Saccharomyces cerevisiae S288C: one gene and its partners. Changing the gene in region 1 together with any one later gene gives a genetic interaction. Each region holds a gene or a part of one and is shown in the gene's direction. Other genes may lie near its edges.

Region 1 (7,633 bases):
TTGAAAGAAAAGGTATGAAGTCAGAGATAAGGCAACTCGCTTTGGGTGATATTATATGGGTTGCCAAGAATAAAAATACCGGGTTGCAGTGTGTGCTCAACACCATAGTTGAAAGAAAAAGGCTAGACGATTTAGCTTTAAGTATAAGGGATAACAGGTTTATGGAGCAAAAAAATAGGTTAGAGAAATCTGGCTGTGAACACAAATACTATCTCATTGAGGAGACTATGAGTGGCAACATTGGAAATATGAATGAGGCCCTAAAGACCGCGCTTTGGGTCATTTTAGTGTATTACAAATTCTCCATGATAAGAACTTGCAATTCGGATGAAACTGTGGAAAAGATACATGCGTTGCATACTGTAATTTCTCATCACTATTCTCAAAAAGATCTCATAGTTATATTTCCAAGTGACCTTAAAAGCAAGGACGATTATAAAAAGGTGCTTCTACAGTTTCGTCGAGAATTCGAACGAAAAGGCGGTATTGAATGCTGTCATAATCTTGAATGCTTTCAAGAACTAATGGGAAAAGGCGATCTAAAGACGGTTGGTGAGCTAACTATACATGTTTTAATGCTTGTTAAAGGTATATCTTTAGAAAAAGCAGTAGCCATCCAAGAAATATTTCCTACCCTGAATAAAATACTAATGGCATATAAAACGTGCTCCTCGGAAGAAGAGGCTAAATTGTTGATGTTTAATGTACTGGGAGATGCACCTGGTGCGAAGAAAATTACTAAATCTCTTTCAGAAAAGATATATGATGCTTTTGGTAAACTTTAGCAATTTGAAATATAGTCATCCCTGCAAGGTTTTATAAAGAAAAAAGTGATGATATTCTTTTAACTAATATATACATATATAAGAAAAGAAGCCTTAATTTCTCACGGACAAATATACCAGAAGCATATCTGAAAGCCGCCCCAATGCATTATGATGCCACTTGACAACTCATCAATGGTAGGTACGAAAGACATAATGAACATCAATTCCATTATCAAAAACCCTTCCAACCTCTTCCAGTGACAAACCTTTGACTTCTGGATACCAAAAATATACGAAAAACCAGGCACAAACTGTGAAAAAAGCAAAAATGAGCATTGTATTTTCATCACCAATGGTGTTAATAGTGCTCAGATATGTCATTGAAACAAATGCATTGGTCAACCAATTTGTGCAGGCTATACATGATGCCCCAAATGATCTCCTGTTCAAGGGGAGAAATTCCACACAGGTCCATGGAACGCTGCCCATCGCAGAAGCATATGCTGCAACATAAATTACAACAGAAATTAAAAGTAAATTGACTTGGTCATGACCGAAACCTACACTGCAAAGAAGTAACCCAACAGTCATAATCAAAATTGTTCTCAAAAGAATGGCTCTTCTTCCCAAAGAGTCCATGGTGTACATGGCGAAAAAAGTGAATATGAAGTTCGTTGAGGCAATCAAAATTGGAGGCAGTAGAGGGTTTTTTATATTAAATTTGGAAAATATTATTGCCGCATAGTACATAAAAGCATTAAAGCCAGTGATTTGCTGGAAAAACATTAACATGCAACCTACTATTAACGCTCTTATTGTGCGTGGCTCCATTCTGTGTCTTTTCTTTTTGTTAGATGCCAGGGCACCGTTTGGAGCTGGGCCTCGCAACGCCGATAGATATGCTGATGAGGAGGACATTGTGTTGCTAGTTCTTTCTGTGTTCGAGGAAAGTCTTTTAATGTTAGGTGGGCTAAGAGTTCCTGAGGTTGAACTATCCATGTATCGAATAACCGATTGGGACTGTACTAGTAAAGGTTCACTTGCATCTTCGTATAGTCGTAACTTATCGAGTTCAATTATCAGCTGCTTAATTTTACTATTCACATGATATGTAGATGCAGTAGGATATAGCATTCTTAGAGAATCCCTGGTATATAGAATGTCTCCCTTGGAAATGGACCATCGTGGCGATTCAGGGATAAAATCCAGTATTGAAAGGAACAGAATAGCTGGAATAGCAGAAAGTGCGAACAAATATCTCCATGAATTATCAATCTCTTTCATAAGGGACGCAATCACATAGGAAACCAATTGACCTCCAGTGATGGCAATAATGTTCAATGTCAACATAAAACCCCTGATTCTGGAAGGTGAAATTTCACTCAGAAATAGAGGGACGCACTGGGCAGACACTCCAACAGCGATCCCAACCAGCAATCTCCCACAAATCAAAAACGTCAATGTTCTTGCTATAGCCATTCCAATTGCAGCTAGGATAAAAATTGAACAGCAGATTGCGAGAGTAATTCTTCTTCCATACCTATCTGCTAAAGGAAATGCCAGAATAGAGCCAAAAAATGATCCGACGCTTGTACTGGAAGTTATCAGCTCCTTCTGAACATCCGTTAAAACTACCAAAGATAGATCTTCGGGCTTTAAAGAAAGCAGAACACCTGATATAACACCAGTATCATAGCCGAATAAAAGCCCACCAATGGTAGCACCAACGAAGATTAACGACGTTTTGAACGTTAAAGCATATGGGAGTTGCTCGATGTCATTGGCAGTATTGGATGTTACCTGGGAGATAATGGAATACAGATCAGAATAAACGTCTTCACTTTCATCTGTAGACATACCTCTATCAAGTTTTGACTTTCCTGTCGCTTGCCTGTACGCTTTTGTTTTCTACTGAGAAAAGATACTTTTTGACCATGGACTATAAGTGCACGCTACAGTTGCACATATAAGGTTGTATATAGTTCAAGAAGTTCCTTTCGTATGGAAATTTTGTTATGTATACCTTCCAGTTGCTATGGTAGTCTACCTGACTAAATTATCAATCCGACCGATGTTCGGATGTTGCGATAATATTGGTACCGGAAAAAAAAAAGGAGAGGGCTTTGTAGTGTCGATGTTTAACAACCTGTTTTAAGGAATAAAGTAAAGTGAGGCTCACCTGGTCATTTAACACCAAGAATCAAGGAGCCAATAAGTGCACATGAGTTTTAAAGGGTTTACCAAGGCTGTTAGTAGGGCTCCTCAGTCCTTCCGTCAAAAGTTCAAGATGGGTGAGCAGACAGAGGATCCTGTTTACGAGGATGCAGAACGTCGTTTTCAAGAATTGGAGCAGGAGACAAAAAAATTAAGTGAGGAATCGAAGAGATACTCGACTGCGGTGAATGGAATGCTGACACACCAAATTGGATTTGCCAAATCCATGGAGGAAATTTTCAAACCTATCAGTGGTAAAATGAGTGACCCTAACGCTACCATACCAGAGGACAACCCACAAGGTATTGAAGCAAGTGAACAGTATAGGGCAATTGTCGCAGAATTACAGGAAACATTGAAACCGGATCTGGCTTTGGTGGAAGAAAAAATTGTTACGCCATGCCAGGAACTGTTGAAGATTATTACTTATATTCGTAAAATGGCCACCAAGAGAAATCACAAAAAATTAGATTTAGATAGACATCTAAACACTTATAACAAGCATGAAAAGAAGAAGGAACCAACCGCCAAAGACGAAGAAAGATTGTATAAAGCACAAGCTCAAGTGGAAGTGGCTCAACAAGAATATGATTACTATAACGACTTGCTAAAGACTCAATTACCAATACTGTTCAGTTTGGAAGCTGAATTTGTGAAACCATTATTTGTCTCATTTTATTTCATGCAATTGAACATTTTTTACACTTTGTATAATAGACTTCAAGACATGAAGATTCCATATTTTGATTTGAACAGTGACATTGTAGAGTCGTACATTGCCAAGAAAGGCAATGTGGAAGAACAAACGGACGCCTTGACTATTACACACTTTAAACTCGGTTACTCTAAGGCAAAATTGGAGATGACCAGAAGGAAGTATGGTGTAGCAACCGCCGAAGGCTCACCCGTCAGTGGCGCATCAAGCGGTGTCGGATATGGTGCTGGGTATGATCCAGCAACTGCCACTTCTCCAACCCCTACAGGATACGGTTATGGTGCCGCAGCACCAAGTTACGCCGCTCAACCTGCTGCCCAGTATGGTACTGCTGCCGCCGTTGGTACTGCTGCTGCTGTTGGTACTGCTGCTGGTGCTGCTGCTGGCGCTGTTCCGGGTACTTATCCACAGTATGCTGCTGCGCAATCTCCACCGCTCACTGGGCTAGGCTTCCAACAATCACCACAGCAGCAACAGGGACCACCACCGGCCTACTCTAATCCTCTAACATCACCTGTTGCGGGCACACCAGCCGCGGCCGTAGCGGCAGCTCCTGGCGTTGAAACTGTTACCGCATTGTATGACTACCAAGCTCAAGCTGCTGGTGATTTGTCTTTCCCTGCCGGCGCAGTTATAGAAATTGTCCAGCGTACTCCGGACGTGAACGAATGGTGGACAGGAAGATACAATGGCCAGCAAGGTGTGTTTCCTGGGAACTACGTGCAACTCAACAAGAACTAGAGGAGGCCCCTGCATCCCTCTGTATTCATTACCTTCTATTGTGAGATGTTACCATTACCTTTTTCTTTTATTGTAATGTTTCTTAATTTAAATACTATATAGGGTAATTCATCCTTCCACCAACAAAGTATCGTTTGAGTCTATCTATTACGGGCATGCGGCGAGCATATTACCCTACTGACAATATCCCAAAAGGGAAGGAGCGCGTTCCCAATAGGGCTGCCACCTTCCCAATATGGTACAAAGCCTACCATATGGGGAAATCAGTTTTCTCGCTCACCTCGCCTAGTCTTCCTAAAACGACGTTCCTCAGTCTCCTTTCTCTTTTATAAAACACCATCTCTGTCTTGTCGATGACACAGCCCAGTTGGGAAACCGGTGCTGACAAACAGGAAAAAAGCAAGACTAGTGGCCTGGCGCGGAAGAAACTGAGCTACATTGCACAACATCTTCAAGCAGGGTGTACGCATTCATTACTTTAATACTAAATTTAGAAGAAATCATCCTTTTTACTCGCGAAACTGTTAGGCTTGATCGGACGATCTCAGAAGAGGAAAAACAAATTGATAAAGTCTTCGTTAGGTTTCCTAGAATAGCAGGCCCGTTACAAAAAATTTTTTTACCCATTCCACTGGTTTTATTCACTAGTGACTTGAAAACTCCACATATTTTTGATCTCTTAAGCTTTCACGCATCACAAAGTTATCAGAACAAATTTTCTCCAGAAAGTTATATTGCAGTGTTCAAAAAGCCGTTCTCATTTCACAGCAATTTTTTTCTAAAGTAGAGGGGCAGAGAAATTAGCCTTCACAAGTTTGCTTTCGAGCTTCCAATTTGATTCCTGCTTTGGTCTTACTTTCATCCTCTCAATACCACTAAGATAAACTAAAAATATCTTTATAATGCCAAATAATACTCTTAAACAAGGCTCCAAAATTGAAAATGTTTCTCCCTCTAAAGGTCATGTCCCAAGTTTTTGGAAGCAGTTCATAAACAACCCTAAGAGTATGTCATCCGAAAATATTACAGTCCCTAGATCACCAACTTCTCTTTCAAGGAATGCTCAACCAACTACTTTAAAACGGCCTCCATTATCTTCAAGACCATATTCATATAATACCCCAACCAAAGATAGGAAATCCTTTTCCAAATCCGCGAAACAGAACAATAACAATAACAACGCTAATTCCGGAACATCGCCTCACGCAGAGTTCAAAAATTACAGAGATATGTTTTTATCTAATAGAAATGGTTTCACAGGTAGGGTTTTCGGTGTTACTTTAGCAGAATCGTTGAGCGTCGCCAGTGCAGAGGTCATTGTTCAAAGTGAGTTGGTGAGTTTTGGTCGGATACCCATCGTGGTAGCCAAGTGCGGCGCATACTTAAAAGCAAATGGATTGGAGACCTCGGGTATATTTCGTATAGCGGGCAATGGTAAAAGAGTAAAAGCCCTTCAATACATATTCTCGTCGCCACCTGATTATGGTACCAAATTCAACGATTGGGAAACATATACAGTGCACGATGTTGCATCGCTCCTGAGGAGATACCTTAATAATTTGGCCGAACCACTAATACCTTTATCCCTATATGAACAATTCAGAAACCCGCTACGATCTAGACCAAGAATCCTAAGGCATATGTTGACCCACGAAGTTTCTCATCCGAATGCGAATAAAACAAATAATGTAACAGTAAAATCAAGTAGACAGAACTATAATGATGATGGTGCTAATGATGGTGACATCGAAAAGGAGGACGCTAAAGATGATGAAGAAAAAAGACGAAGAAAAATACGTCATAAGAGAAGGCTGACCCGCGATATAAGGGCAGCTATCAAGGAATATGAAGAGCTCTTTGTTACCTTATCAAATGACACGAAACAGCTAACTATATACCTACTCGATTTACTGAGTCTTTTTGCAAGGCAATCACAGTTTAACCTAATGTCTGGTAGAAACTTGGCGGCCATCTTCCAACCTTCAATATTATCGCATCCTCAACATGATATGGACCCCAAAGAATACGAGTTATCCCGACTAGTAGTGGAATTTTTGATTGAATACTCGTACAAGCTATTACCCCATCTTTTGAAGTTGGCTAAAAGGGAACAACAGGAACGGTTGTCAACCGAAAATAAGAAAAATAATGGAGATAAACAGAAAACTGATCCTATAGAAATACCAAAGATCACCTCATCGGATTCGCCACCAATAGTTTCTTCCAATAAAAACCCACCGGCGATTGACAATAACAATAAACTAGACCATACGACGTTATCGCCAATATCTACTTCGATACCGGAGAACTCATCAGACCTACAGACTTCAAAAATGTTAAAGCCTCCGAAGCAAAGAAGACCACACTCAAAATCGTTTGGTTCTACTCCGGTTCCTCCGGATGTTATTGCTAGTAATAAAAGAAGAACGAGTTTATTCCCGTGGTTACATAAACCGGGAATTTTGAGTGACACAGGAGACAATGGCGACTTAACTGCTACTGAAGCTGAAGGTGATGATTATGAAGAAGAAAATGTTGATCCATACGGTCAGTCTCCATCTAGCGTACACTCAGGTTCTTTGCCCAAACAGCATTATCTGCCAATTCCTCGAATGAACAGATCGTTGAGTGGAAACAGTACCAATTCGTCCTTTAACACTAGACCTATTTCAATGATCCTGACCAGTGGTAATGATAATTCCGCTGATCAATTAGAATTACTAAGTAACACTCATAGCAATAATGAGCGCAGTAATGCTTTACCATTAACCGAAGATGATGGGGATGAAAGAAATTCAAGATCACGCAAGAGGGAATCATGGTTTCAAAGACTAACAAGCCGTTCAGGCTCTGCTAACAGGGCTTGATAACACCATTTTTCTTTCCTTTTAATTTCCTCATTTTTTTTTTTTTCGTTATTTCCCTTAAAAACCTGTTGGCGGTTTTCTTTCTTTTTCTTTGCCTTCTGTATAAATAACAAATAAACATCATTCCCCTTTCAAGATTTATAACCATAAAGGGAACATATATAACATAAATCATGAAGAGGACAAATTACGGACAATTATTCTGTAGCGATGCTAATCAGTATAAAATAAAAGAATAAAAATTCTTAAGTTGTTAATATGCCAGAGAAATGTTACAGCTTGTAACTCTTCAATAATGAATTTCTATGTTATATGACTGGCTGTTTCAT
Region 2 (7,094 bases), on another chromosome or scaffold:
TGAGAGTGACAGTGTCTGGAATTTCTTTCTTCTAGAATACCAAGGGTACGCATTTCTCTCCTACGGAATTTTCTGTGCAGATGTCCCGATCTACGTGGCAGATAGTGAAAACTCCGTAGGCAAAAGGGGCATCGGAAAAACCTCTTCAAAAAAAAAGGTTTTTAGGCTCGAACGAGCCGGAGCAATAATGTTCCTTTGAAAAATAGCAATCGTTATGCAACCATTTTATATGAGTCTGCCCCTCAAGGGACTCGCCACCGGACCGCTGCAGTTGTTTGCATTCATCCACATATAAGCTGGTTGTGTATGACAGGAGAAAAAATACTTCATTCGCAGTTGTTAACCAACAGCGACATGTCTAGCGGGAATGTCCACCATACGAAACCGATGATGTACAACGTAACCCTGCCTTCCTACAACAGCAGTAGTATAGGTCCAGTCGATAATTTGAAAATAAACGAGAGACCTGGCTCTCATGATCATTCCATGAGAAGTGAAATGTCATCCAAAAACTCCGGAAGCGATTTTATGCCACAATCTATTTCACGTTCCGAAGGTAGTGTCTACCAGGTCAAGATAGATCGTGGTGACTCCCCGAATACAGAAGGATTCGACTTTAAAGTTAATGCAAGAGATCTGCTGTTACTTCGAATGTCCTGGGATATCCTCCTCAGGGAGTATTTAACACCTAAAGAATTAAAAGTTTTTCAAGCACTTCTGTATTCCAATAAACATATTACTTCAACAGAAAGACCCTATTTGAATACTGCTCCTGACGGTATGATTTCCAAAACTATTGACCCTACTGCCAGGCCACGTAAAACAAAACAAAGGGACAATGATAACAAGGTTGATACTGCACTATTTTGTTCACAGTTTTATGACAATTTGATTGCAATGGATCCCTTGTTAGAAGAATATTTTCCATCATTAAAACATCAAGCAGTTTCGTTCTGTAAGGTCCTTGATTCTGCTATTGACAACCTTGAAAACGTTCATGTCCTAGATGATTATATTGTGAAATTAGGAAAACGCCATTCCAGAATTCTCGGCATCAAAACCGTTGGTTTCGAAGTAATGGGAAAAGCATTTATGACTACATTGCAGGACAGGTTTGGATCTTTTCTCACACTGGAACTCAAAAATCTATGGGGACAACTTTACTCATATTTGGCAAATTGTATGATTACTGCAGGGAAGGACCCAATGGAAAAGATTCAACCAGATTTTTCGTATAATGGTGACTCTGTGGTTTTAAATTTTTCCATTCCCAAACTTGCGATGCATGATATAAGTACAGTTAACAAGCTACAAATGGTGAAAACTAAAAACGCTACTATACCTCATAATATAACACAAGTACCGACAAATAAAATTCCTACAGAAATACTCTTAGACAATTCTTCTACTCCAATAAAAAGCGACCGTGAATCGACGCCTCCAATCTCACCAAAGGGCTCTGGAAGTACAAAACCAAGCATCGGTAGCAGTACCGTCGTGGAAAGTAATACCAAGAAAAATAATTATGATGAAAAAATCCATTTATTGCAAAAAACTGCTCAGCAGAAGAACTGCTCGATTATGTAACTACAACCGTACCATTAAGTGTATAAGTTTCCCAGGTTATATTATATATTCTTTAGATCACTGCCTGTTCTTTATTACCCGCGAGCTAATCTTTGTCTTATATAGGCGCGTCAGCGGAGACGCGTCAAGTCAACTTCTCTCTTCTATCGTCCCGAGTATGAAAAATCATTTCAGATTCGAAGAAATCAGATTGGCTTTATATCTTCTTTAGAACAAGACGTGTAATATTCTCACACTTAGAGTTGACCCCCTCAAGTTCGCTTATTAGTACAGGTTTTGACTTTGCAAATAAACAACAGGAAAAGCGACTCAAATAAATTGACAAAGAAATCTCAACAACCAGAGTGCAAAAGCCGTACGAGCAGCGTTTTTATTAATAACGATATATCACTACGTATTCAACAGAATATGTCGGATAGTATTTCAGATTCAAAGTCCTCAGAACTTTTAAATTCTACTTTTTATTCGTCGACGTCGATAAATACACTTGATCATGCTAGAACCTTTCGAAATTCTCTGATATTGAAGGAGATATCAGATCAAAGTCTAAATTCATCAATAAAGCCATGCGAATCCGTCCTTGATAGGGATGTTGAAAGCTCAGTTCTGCAGCGGTCGTTTGGAGAAAGTAATGCCCGAGACTCAGAAGTACAAACGGTAAATATGACAACTTCCCCCTCATTAAGTGCATTGGCTGATATTCTGAACGAAAGATCCAAATATGCTGACCAAAAAACTAGAAAGGCACAAAATATTGAGTCTTCCATAATAGAAGAAGAAGAAGAGGCCGAAGAGCAAAACAACTCGATCAATTATCACGAGGATATAACTGGATCCAGGCTGTCTGTACGAGAGGAAGCAAATGAAAACTTGGCGATGACCTCTCCAAACCTTATTGACATTGACGGATCCAATAGTATTCAAGTTGCCCCTTTGAGTTTACCGTCTTTCGAAGAACCTGACTTTTTGTCCACTCCTAGAGTAAAACCTGATTCTCAGGGACCTCGGAGCAAAGTTAGTACACGACGTACTATTCTCGAACGAGACAACAATTTACCAGTTAAGCGGGAGGAAAATACTATCATTAATTCAGAAACTGAAAGCACAACACATAGCGCACCATTTTTAAAAGAGGATCCGAAACCCTCGCCTCCTTCGAGTAAATTATACAACCCAAAAGTTCGTTTAAACAAAGCAGAAGCGCGAAAGTATACTGATTCTTCTGCCCAAAGGACTACTTCAGCAGGCTCGGTACTTGAAGACACTTCTATGCATAAAAAGAAAAAGAGTATATTTTCATTTCTGAAGAAGAAAGAACCGAAACCAGTTATTGGTAATAATAGTGTAACGAATGAAAAAAATAAGATGTCTTCATCGAGCACTTTCTCAATGAATATTCAAACCTCTTTAAAAACGCCTGAAAAACTAAAGAAGAAGTCTCACAGTAGCAGTAGCATTTTCAATTCCTTCCTAAAGGGAAAAATTGAAACATCAGACTCACCTCGAAAGGAACCAATGAGGCAAAAAAAAAGAACCCCAAAATCCAAGGACAAAAAGCAAGATACTGAACAAATAATTGACGCCGCATCAGTGTTATCCACTGAATCACCTCTACTACGAAAAAACCACGACGATACTCCCGTGAAAATAGATCACGTAACGAGATCAATTGATCAGAGAAAACCTACTCCTTTAAACATGGATCTCATATTGGGAGGTGATAAACAGATAAATACCCCGCTACAAGAACACGTAAGAGAAGATGATGATGCCAAAAATGATCTTCAATTACCAACCAAGGATAATTTTTTATCACTGGACTACGAAGCACCCTCACCAGCATTTTCCAAACACGATACAGGTGAGGTTCTTTTCCCAAAATTTTTGGATAATCATGAAGTCGACTCGATCGTTTCTTTAGAAAGAACAAGATCTACAAAGTCTAACAAGAGAAGTTCAATGAACTCGCAAAGAAGGTCATTGACAGATACGCTATCGATCAAAGCGCAAAGTGAGGGAATGTTCATCACTGAGGCATCTTCTGTTGTATTATCTACTCCAGACTTGACGAAGTCTCCTGCTAGCAGCATTTTAAAGAATGGAAGGTTCGAATACTCAGATAATTTCTCCAGAGAACACTCTTACGAAGGTACCACGAATGAGGACTTTTTAGATATCAAGGACGATAGTGGTCCACTAAAAAAAGATGACATATTTTTAGAGTCTATTGAACAAAAATTTGACCAGCTAGTGATGGCCTCTGATGAAGAAAAAACTGAAGTTGAAAGGGATGTACCAAAACCAAGAGAAGAACCTCTGAAGAAGGATTCTGAAAGGCAAAGCGTTTTTGCAGATGATGATAACGAGTTAATTTCTGATATAATGGAGTTTGCAAGTTTTATTAACTTCGGTGATGATGATCTCAATCTAGACCTAGACTTGGGAGATACAACGGCCTCATATGCAACAGAAACCCCTGAACCTGTTGGAAATGATGAAGTAAATCGCTCTGGTACTTTTGATACACGAAATAACAAAGAGGATAGTTACAAAGAAAGAGAAACTCAATCTTATTCCGCTGCTGGAGCTACTACATACGGAGATGAGCGTCAAGGTCAATTACATACATTTGAACAAGACGGAAGTGAAATAAATGACAACGAATTTGAGAATGAAGATTTCAACAAACACATAGAACAGCCCATAGAAGTTACTCCAAGAAATAATGCATATTTACCAGAATTCGAACCCAATAGACCTGTTTCAATGTCCTTTAAAGGACTAAAAGCCCCAAGAATGAATACTTCTTTTATTGACTCCATGACGCCTGATTCTCCCGTAAAATCAGACTTAACAAGTCTAGGTGAGGTGTATGTAAACAGTAATAATGACCAGGGTGTCCGGTTTTCGTCCCAGATAATACTTTACGACACTTATGGAGAATTCGAATATGATAGACATCCAGAAATTTCCACTTGTAACCAGCTTACTCCACAACTGGCTCAAATGATCAAATTGGAATTAAATGAGTTAAAGAGCGCAATGGAAGTACACGATGATTCGCGATGTTACACACATTTTTATTAGAGCAGAAAACTGGGAGAAATGGAAATGAATCAAATCATACATATCAAGACATTCTAGTTTTTATAAACCTATAATTTATCGCAAGAATCTTGGGTGTTATGTGTTGTATTTGCGGCATCATTTCAAAATACCGTCTGCATTACCCGTCTCCGTCACGTGAAGTAAAAATTTCCAAAAAATATTGAAAAAAGAAAGAAAAATAAGATCCAGAATTCACTGATGATGAGCTTATGGTACGGCATGATTAACTACGCATTTGTATATTAAAGATTCTTTGATTTTTTCCAGAGCATTGAATACCTCAATCTATAAGTGTATTATAATGGCATGCAATTTTCAGTTTCCAGAAATAGCTTATCCAGGTAAACTAATATGCCCACAGTACGGTACGGAAAATAAAGATGGCGAAGATATAATTTTCAATTATGTGCCCGGTCCCGGAACTAAACTAATTCAATATGAACACAACGGACGAACTTTAGAAGCTATAACTGCTACACTAGTTGGGACAGTGAGGTGTGAGGAAGAAAAAAAAACTGATCAGGAAGAAGAGCGTGAAGGCACTGATCAATCTACAGAGGAAGAAAAATCAGTAGATGCATCACCTAATGATGTCACAAGAAGAACTGTAAAAAATATTCTGGTTTCAGTGCTTCCTGGGACAGAAAAGGGTCGTAAAACCAACAAATATGCTAATAATGATTTTGCCAATAACCTACCGAAGGAAGGTGATATTGTGCTGACCAGGGTGACAAGGCTTTCGTTGCAACGAGCCAATGTCGAAATTTTAGCTGTGGAAGATAAACCATCTCCAATTGATAGTGGCATCGGCAGTAATGGATCGGGAATAGTCGCTGCTGGTGGCGGTTCTGGAGCAGCTACGTTCTCTGTTTCTCAAGCATCATCAGATTTAGGTGAGACATTCAGAGGTATAATCAGGTCTCAGGATGTACGGTCTACAGACAGAGATCGTGTGAAAGTGATAGAATGTTTCAAGCCGGGAGATATTGTTAGGGCGCAAGTTTTATCATTAGGTGACGGAACCAACTACTATTTGACCACTGCAAGGAATGACCTTGGGGTCGTGTTCGCCAGAGCTGCTAATGGTGCTGGTGGATTGATGTATGCTACAGACTGGCAAATGATGACTTCACCGGTTACAGGCGCTACAGAAAAGCGCAAATGTGCCAAACCTTTTTGATATGTAACAGCTTATCTACAGTGCATATAGACGCGTATATATTTAAAAGAGGGTATTCGCTTCTTCTTCTTTAGATTGCATTCTTTGATGGTTAGGAAAAAGAAGCGGGAACGTGATTAAACTTTTTATTCTCTTTTATTTATTATATATTATAGTGCATTATCATTATCTATCTAAATTTGCCTTTACACGGTACTGCTTTCCGATTTTACTGGGTAAAGAAGTTTTTCATGAGTACCTCTTAAATCAACCTCACTTAAACCTACAATACCACCGAAGCTTTGAAACCTCTTAAAATAATGATCTCTTTTTTCACGCGCGGTTTCCACCAGAGCTGGCCAATAAACATCATGATTGTACTTGAATTTCAGATCACCACCATACAACGAATCTAGTTCGTTCTTAGGGACATATTTAACAAATGGTTCATCAAAAACTAGCTTTTCACGGGTCAGTGGGTCAATAAAAGGGTGAATTAACTTCAAGAAAGTCCATGCTAACCAAGGAATATTCGTCAAAAGTGCTTTTCCTAGTCTTTCTGGATAATGAGTTTGTAGAATATGCAGCACTTCTTTCCCTACACCAATAGGTGGGATTTTACTATTGCCAGGTACTTTAGGAACATCAGGGTAATCTTTAAAGTCTATTAGCAAAGCTAGAGAGTCTTGACCAGCTGGCATAAAATCGATAACTCTTTCCAACATGAAGACCAAGTGCTGTACCTGTCTGTGAGAAGTCTTTGTATTTTGTCTGCCCGGTTTCAAATATAAGATAGGTCTAGCATCGTTTTCGTAACCCAAAATCACCTGCTTACCTGATTCGTTCTCGACGGCCACCAAGTCAGCAGTTATTTTATCACCATGCTCTTCACCTAAATGACTAATACCGAATTCTCTTCTCCACGCTAGAGTCATGGTGATTCTATCGATACAGTCTTTTAGCACCCATTTAGTAGCCCTTAGGTAACGTAAAAAACATTCTCTTGTCAACCATGCCTTTTCTTCTTCCTCTAAGGGTTTAAGATCATCCTCCGACTTATTTTTTTCACTTGTATAAACCTTCAAGTCAGGGTTACTGAAATGTTTTAGCACTTCGTCATACATTTTTTGTTGCTCACCTGTAAGTGGTTTTTCTTTTGGAATAGCTATCGAAGCAGGAAGTTCTTTGATAGGCTTATCAATATTAATCAAATTTTTTGGGTCTTCTGGAGCCTCCTTCT
Region 3 (7,890 bases), on another chromosome or scaffold:
GAATCCAAAGTATAAAATGGAAAACTTACCCTTCAAATTCTCCTCAGTGAAAGGCTTACCATTAAAATCTGTTAAATTGAAAGGACCGCCAAGTGCTACTGAACCGTAAGCTCTGTTAGCATCTGCTTCCTTTTCAGTTTCTAGCAAGCGTCTTTTTCTTGATAAATAGGCATACGTCCCACCACTTAGCAACAATAGAGCAATGGTGGCCTTCCATCTGGAAAATTGAAAAAACCTGGTTCTAATAGGCTCTGGTTCATTGATTTCATCACCTAGTTGTAGCCTATCTAGTGGTTGTCTTGCACTTGGGCTTTCCTTGTTATCACTCCTCAAACAACATCCCGTTGAAAACCCTCTTCGATATGCGCCTCCATTATAAAAGAGTCCTTTTATTGAGACGTTCGCTTGTCTGAATAGGGAACGACAAGCATATTTTCTTGAACTATTCAACATTTTACTCTCGCTTCCCAAATTCCCCTTTCTATGGTGATATTATAAAAGATCCTGTAAGCTGCTGTTTTACGAAGGTATTGTAGACGATCCGTAGCCCTCTTTAGCAATTGTTTGACTACTATCGATGGGACTTCTCGAAATTCATACTTTGTTAGGTTTTCTTTTTTATCCCTAAAAAGAGCGAAAGGATCAAGCAGAAAATTAAAACAATAGGCTACATCATCGAAGTTTCAAAGACCGGCATATCCGTCCATTTTTGAAAACACCCCACCCAAAATTGTAACTATCGACAGATTCTATGATAGCTACCCCGGGATGAAGGGCAGTCTTCTATAACTTGGGGCGGCAAGCAAACCAACCGTCATAGTTAATAAACCACACGTTGGTTATTTAGATTTCTCGTCCTGCTTTTCTGTCGCCAATAGGGCAACCTTAGAAAAGGTTTGAGGATAGTGACTACATGCAATCAAGGTAAAAGCGTTATCGAATAAGTAACAAGCATTCCGTGCTAAATTGACGAGAATTGGCAAGATGCGTCAGCACTATTTGGAGCAAACACACCAACTGGATGTCTTAAAAGTCAATTCAACGACCAATTTATGTAACCAGCGTGACTAGGGCAACGAATTTACGTCTTTTTTCTAAACTGCATATGCTATGAAATTAAAGATATACTGCCTCTATAAAAACATTTATATTTTCCCTCCTTTGCAATGGAAATGAAAACGGCGGTAAAAAAATTCGTGAGAATAAAGAGACGAGTACAAAAGTTCAATTAAAAACGCCAGGAACTGTTCTTTATCTTATTCTCTCCGTACGCTGTGTCACAAAGCTCTTGTATTGTGTCTCGCTTTCTTTTTCCAGATCTATGAAACCAGAATCACACCGCAGCAGCGACGGCTGTACCGTATTTAAGAGAATCCGCATGGGAAAAGATTACAAATTACCCTAGACAAATTTATAGAAGCGGTGCTTGTGAGATTTACTCACATTCTAGGATTCGAGAACTAAGCATTGTAGTTCTTATTTACATCCTTGAACAAATACCTGCCTATCTCCGCACGTACTACGTAGCCACAAATGTATATATAATCGTGCGTTGTATTTGCGCCCTCACCCACATATTTGACATGTGCATGAGACTGGATATTTCTTGAAGCATATTCAATAGCGTCGATGGACAGTTAGCCCGCAGTTGTATTGCATTCAGCACCTGCATAGGTGACCCTCTTTGGCTGCCTATTTGGATAAAACGCGTTATTGGCGCTGGCGCAGACCTCGAAAAAAAAAATCAAAAATGAAAATAAGAGCATAAAAATAGAAATCAAAAATATTCTTTCCTGTGTTTCAGATTTACATTCAGTACCAACATTTCGACTTGTAGTAAATCCTGCTAGAAGAATCACATTGGTAGACGGTTATAAACGTTTACCGATTTGCAAAGTTCTCGAGTATTTTTGGTGTAGGTCCCATTTTCTTCAAAGGTCCTGTTTAGACTATCCGCAGGAAAGAAATTAGAATGACCGGCTTGAATGGAGATGATCCTGATGACTACTATCTGAACCTTAATCAAGATGAAGAGTCTCTACTTAGGTCAAGACACAGTGTCGGCTCAGGAGCACCTCATAGACAAGGCTCTTTAGTGCGGCCCGAAAGAAGCCGACTGAACAATCCTGATAATCCACATTTTTATTATGCGCAGAAAACGCAGGAGCAGATGAATCACCTGGATGTTTTACCATCAAGTACCGGTGTAAACCCAAATGCAACTCGTCGGAGTGGCTCCCTGCGCTCCAAAGGCTCAGTGAGAAGCAAATTTAGTGGCCGCGAAACGGATAGCTATCTTTTACAAGATATGAATACTACTGACAAGAAGGCTTCCGTTAAAATAAGTGATGAAGGTGTTGCGGAAGACGAATTTGATAAAGATGGTGATGTGGACAATTTCGAAGAAAGCTCCACGCAGCCCATAAATAAGTCTATCAAACCATTAAGAAAGGAAACGAATGATACATTGTCATTTTGGCAGATGTACTGTTATTTCATTACGTTTTGGGCACCTGCTCCAATTCTTGCTTTCTGCGGGATGCCAAAGAAGGAAAGACAAATGGCGTGGAGAGAAAAGGTTGCTTTAATTTCTGTCATCTTGTACATTGGTGCGATTGTGGCTTTCCTGACTTTTGGTTTCACTAAAACCGTTTGTAGTAGTTCGAAACTACGTTTGAAAAACAACGAAGTATCAACAGAATTTGTCGTAATTAACGGTAAGGCTTATGAATTGGATACTTCCTCGCGTTCCGGTATACAAGACGTTGAAGTAGATTCAGACACCCTTTATGGGCCCTGGTCAGATGCTGGTAAAGATGCTTCGTTCTTGTTTCAAAATGTGAATGGTAACTGTCATAACCTTATAACTCCAAAGAGTAATTCTTCCATTCCCCATGACGATGATAATAATTTAGCATGGTATTTTCCTTGTAAGTTAAAGAATCAAGATGGCTCTTCGAAGCCAAACTTCACAGTTGAAAATTACGCAGGATGGAACTGTCATACGTCTAAAGAAGATAGGGACGCATTTTACGGTTTAAAGTCGAAAGCTGATGTTTACTTCACTTGGGATGGTATAAAGAACTCTTCTAGAAACTTGATTGTTTATAATGGCGACGTTTTGGATTTAGATCTTCTTGATTGGTTGGAAAAGGATGACGTTGACTATCCCGTTGTATTCGATGACTTGAAGACTTCAAATTTACAAGGTTATGATCTTTCGTTGGTTTTGTCAAATGGGCATGAAAGAAAAATTGCGAGATGTTTGAGCGAAATTATTAAAGTTGGTGAAGTAGACTCCAAAACCGTCGGTTGTATTGCCTCTGATGTCGTTTTGTATGTTTCTCTGGTATTTATTCTTTCAGTGGTGATAATTAAATTCATAATTGCCTGCTACTTCCGTTGGACTGTAGCTAGGAAACAAGGTGCATATATCGTGGACAATAAAACAATGGATAAACACACAAACGATATCGAGGATTGGTCTAATAATATTCAAACAAAAGCTCCTCTAAAGGAAGTAGATCCTCATTTGAGGCCAAAGAAATACTCAAAAAAGTCGTTGGGACACAAGCGTGCTTCAACCTTTGACTTGCTGAAAAAACACAGCTCCAAAATGTTTCAATTTAACGAATCTGTGATAGATCTAGACACCTCCATGAGCAGTTCACTACAATCTTCTGGTTCATACAGAGGAATGACAACAATGACCACTCAAAATGCTTGGAAACTCTCGAATGAAAACAAAGCTGTACATTCCCGTAATCCATCTACTTTGTTGCCTACATCCTCGATGTTTTGGAATAAAGCGACTTCCTCTCCTGTACCAGGATCATCGCTGATTCAGAGTCTTGATTCGACGATTATACATCCCGATATCGTTCAACAACCACCACTGGATTTTATGCCATACGGGTTCCCATTGATTCATACTATCTGTTTTGTTACTTGTTATTCTGAGGATGAAGAGGGTTTAAGAACCACTTTAGACTCTCTTTCTACCACAGATTATCCAAATTCCCATAAACTACTGATGGTTGTTTGTGATGGTTTAATTAAGGGCTCGGGCAACGATAAGACTACTCCAGAGATAGCGTTAGGAATGATGGACGACTTTGTCACCCCACCTGATGAAGTTAAACCTTACTCCTATGTGGCAGTGGCATCAGGCTCTAAAAGACACAATATGGCCAAGATATATGCGGGTTTTTACAAATATGACGATTCTACAATTCCACCAGAAAATCAACAACGTGTCCCAATCATTACAATTGTGAAGTGCGGTACTCCTGCAGAGCAGGGGGCCGCCAAACCCGGTAACAGAGGTAAGCGTGATTCTCAAATTATTCTGATGTCCTTTTTAGAAAAAATAACATTTGATGAAAGAATGACTCAATTGGAATTTCAGCTTTTAAAAAATATTTGGCAGATTACGGGGCTAATGGCAGACTTCTACGAAACGGTACTTATGGTTGATGCTGATACTAAAGTCTTTCCCGATGCTTTAACTCATATGGTCGCTGAAATGGTTAAAGATCCTTTGATTATGGGTCTTTGTGGTGAGACCAAGATCGCTAATAAGGCACAATCTTGGGTAACTGCAATTCAAGTGTTTGAGTACTATATTTCGCATCATCAGGCTAAAGCTTTTGAATCTGTCTTCGGTTCGGTAACTTGTTTGCCGGGATGTTTCTCAATGTATCGTATAAAATCTCCTAAAGGTTCAGATGGTTATTGGGTACCTGTATTGGCAAATCCAGATATTGTTGAAAGATATTCGGATAATGTTACAAACACTTTGCATAAGAAGAACTTATTATTACTTGGTGAAGATAGATTTTTATCTTCATTAATGTTAAAGACTTTCCCTAAGAGAAAGCAAGTATTTGTTCCAAAAGCTGCTTGTAAAACTATTGCCCCTGATAAATTCAAAGTCTTACTTTCCCAGCGTCGAAGATGGATTAATTCTACGGTACATAACCTTTTTGAATTAGTTCTAATCAGAGACTTATGTGGCACTTTCTGTTTTTCCATGCAATTTGTGATTGGTATTGAATTGATTGGTACTATGGTACTGCCGTTAGCCATTTGCTTTACTATTTATGTCATTATTTTTGCCATTGTATCAAAACCTACACCCGTAATCACTTTAGTTTTACTGGCAATTATTCTTGGTCTGCCCGGCTTAATTGTTGTTATAACTGCTACGAGATGGTCGTACCTATGGTGGATGTGCGTATATATTTGTGCTTTGCCTATTTGGAATTTCGTACTACCTTCATATGCGTACTGGAAATTTGATGACTTCTCATGGGGTGATACGAGAACTATTGCGGGAGGTAATAAAAAGGCACAAGACGAGAATGAAGGTGAATTTGATCACTCAAAGATTAAAATGAGGACATGGAGGGAATTTGAAAGGGAAGATATTCTCAATCGGAAGGAGGAAAGTGACTCCTTCGTTGCATAGACAGTATGAAAATATTTTTACTGTGATACTTACAAGTTGATATATGGTTGTGTGTAACTTATTTATTTGAGAGGTATTTTAACACACCTTAGAACTAAAACTTAATAAATAAATATTTCTCTATCTTTAAAGGCACATATTACGTGGCTAAGGCAATTACAGCTGATATACTGTAAAACTCATGTCGCCACTAAATTCTTCTAACACGCGTTCTGTCTCTTTCCAAGGGACTCCGAATATGCCACTATTTATCTGTGGCATTTCCAATTTATATTCCCCTATTGGGTATTTGATGTGGCCGTTTAAATAGTCACCGATTGAATCTTCACTTGTTCGAGTTTTGTCTTTTGCTTCTCTAAAGGTCTTCAATTTATCTAAAGCAAGTTTTGTATAATTCAAAATACTTTGCTTTTCTCCATGACTTGAACCTCCAAATGATGATGTAAACAAGCAACAAATCAGCAGATCTGAGTTTTCGTAACTGGGAAGTAATATGCATTTGCCTAGTAAATTAGAACCATACTTTTCGCATACTTCAACGTAATCTTTCTCTGCTTTTGGGTAGCGCAAAGCAAGTTGATAAGCGATCCCACCACCCCACGAGCCATTGCAGTTGCAAGAATGGATGAGGATCCTAGCATATGACTTTGGTTTTAAGATGTTACCTTTGACATAAGTGATGTTCGACATACCTGTAACTTGATGCTATATTTATCTTGGAGAAGATACTAATAAACTCAAACTTTTCGTGTAGAAATCTGGGCTTCAAGTTCGCATAGCATAACGAATCGTAAAGTTATGCATATGGCATAATACAACAATTATCCATTTTTTCTCGTGTGTAAAAAGAGAAAGGAGAGAGGAAAGAACGCTAAGCCATAAAGCAAACAAAAAATCGAATGAAAGTGAGTGAATATATTAAAACCAGTGAAATTAATGCTCATTGAAGGCCAAATGCACAAAGTAAATGCTAAAGAGAACGTAAATAGAAGTAAGTAGTATAGATAAGGATTAATATCATTACACATGAAAATTTGAAAAATATTTCAGATTAATGCAGAAAGTGATGTAGATATGGAGAGCTTAAATGAAAGTCTTTTCGTGTTCGTGTTCGTAGACACTAATATTGTCATCTACCAGGTCATCCCTCTCAATTGTGTCTTTCCACTCTTCTTCAAAATCATCGACATTGGCCCATCTTTGGAACCAGCCCTTGTCCTTTATAATGTTGTTAACAGGGCACCCAGGTACAGGGAAGAAGTAACACAGAGCAGTATAAGAAGAAAAACTCAAGCCATATCCTACCCAGTAACTTAGGTAATATAGTTTCATAGCTCCATCAGAAACCTTTATAGCGGGAGCGCCCACCTCCGCGATGAAACCGGGCAAGCAAGGAGCCACCCCACATAGATATGCAGCCAAAGCTCTCCAATTGATACCAAACCTGTTTCCGTACATATAAAAAGAGCCCTTTTGATGGGAATATATGTGTGTTAGCTTGATATATCCTCTTCTAACAACAAAGTAATCTGAGCAGACAACACCGGCAATACTGGACAAAAAGATAGCATATGCGGACAAAGCCATTGTAAATTTACTTGATGTTGCCATTAAATTCCATGGACAAATACACAGCGCCATGGCTGCACAAAATAATGAACCACGCTTGATATTGATAAACTTGGGGAAAATAGCGGACATATCAGTTCCACACGATAATGAGTTTGCAGAAATATTAGTACCTAACTGAGCTACGGCGAAAACAAAAGAGATTAAGAAAACACCAGCTCTTGTGCCCTTATTATAAGTAGTCTGTAAAAATTTTTCTAGCACATCGAGTGGCGACCAGTAATTAATACCGTATATTTCATAACCAGCTGCGGTGACTAGAATTCCAATTAAACAAGTGATGGAAAACAAAAATGGAATGCACACTAATTGGGACCATAAAGCGGAGTTAGGGTTTTTTGAAAATCTAGAGAAATCTGGAGCGTTGATTACCATTGTGGAGAAATTAGCCATACAACCCATTAGTGATCTTAGAAAAGCCCACGAAAAGGCAGAGCCATGAGGTTGTACATCGGTTAAAGATCCTAAGGCAATACGCCCGTGAGCTCTTCTGATAGCCCAAATTAAGAAACCAAAAGAAGCAAACGGAACCAAGACGGCTTTAACAGTAAACAGGTGTCTAATTTTGTGAGGTGGAACCAGTAAAAATGGAAGACTGGCAGCCCAAAAGATAAAAAAACACATGAACTCGTAAGTAGTAGCATTCGGTGATCCAAAGTGATCTGGGATTTTGTCTTGTAAATCTTTTCCAAAGATAGATTTCAGCATTAATGATACGGGAGTTGCCGCAATATAAGCTTGGACACTATACCAAACGATGGCCATGACGACTCTGTTAATAACGGGCCATA

Evidence for each region. A genetic interaction does not mean that the proteins touch.
Region 2: mutations in RVS167 (region 1) and BNI4 are lethal when combined (synthetic lethality), as found in Saccharomyces cerevisiae (5 studies listed by BioGRID, with this or other methods).
Region 3: mutations in RVS167 (region 1) and CHS3 impair growth when combined (synthetic growth defect), as found in Saccharomyces cerevisiae (5 studies listed by BioGRID, with this or other methods).

Annotation. Positions count from the first base shown.
Region 1 is NC_001136.10:1,247,198-1,254,830, forward strand, and holds RVS167 (amphiphysin), read left to right. Parts: upstream 1-2,988; coding exon 2,989-4,437; downstream 4,438-7,633. Other genes in the region: MUS81 (Mus81p), read left to right, coding at 1-785; CIN10 (Cin10p), read right to left, coding at 957-2,624; GTPase-activating protein SAC7, read left to right, coding at 5,340-7,304. UniProt on the Saccharomyces cerevisiae protein: Component of a cytoskeletal structure that is required for the formation of endocytic vesicles at the plasma membrane level.
Region 2 is NC_001146.8:209,927-217,020, forward strand, and holds BNI4 (Bni4p), read left to right. Parts: upstream 1-1,995; coding exon 1,996-4,674; downstream 4,675-7,094. Other genes in the region: YNL234W (uncharacterized protein), read left to right, coding at 307-1,587; exosome non-catalytic core subunit CSL4, read left to right, coding at 4,997-5,875; PDR16 (phosphatidylinositol transporter), read right to left, coding at 6,061-7,094.
Region 3 is NC_001134.8:282,008-289,897, reverse strand, and holds CHS3 (chitin synthase CHS3), read left to right. Parts: upstream 1-1,972; coding exon 1,973-5,470; downstream 5,471-7,890. Other genes in the region: putative thioredoxin peroxidase SCO2, read right to left, coding at 1-453; POA1 (ADP-ribose 1''-phosphate phosphatase), read right to left, coding at 5,627-6,160; FUR4 (uracil permease), read right to left, coding at 6,554-7,890. UniProt on the Saccharomyces cerevisiae protein: Polymerizes chitin, a structural polymer of the cell wall and septum, by transferring the sugar moiety of UDP-GlcNAc to the non-reducing end of the growing chitin polymer.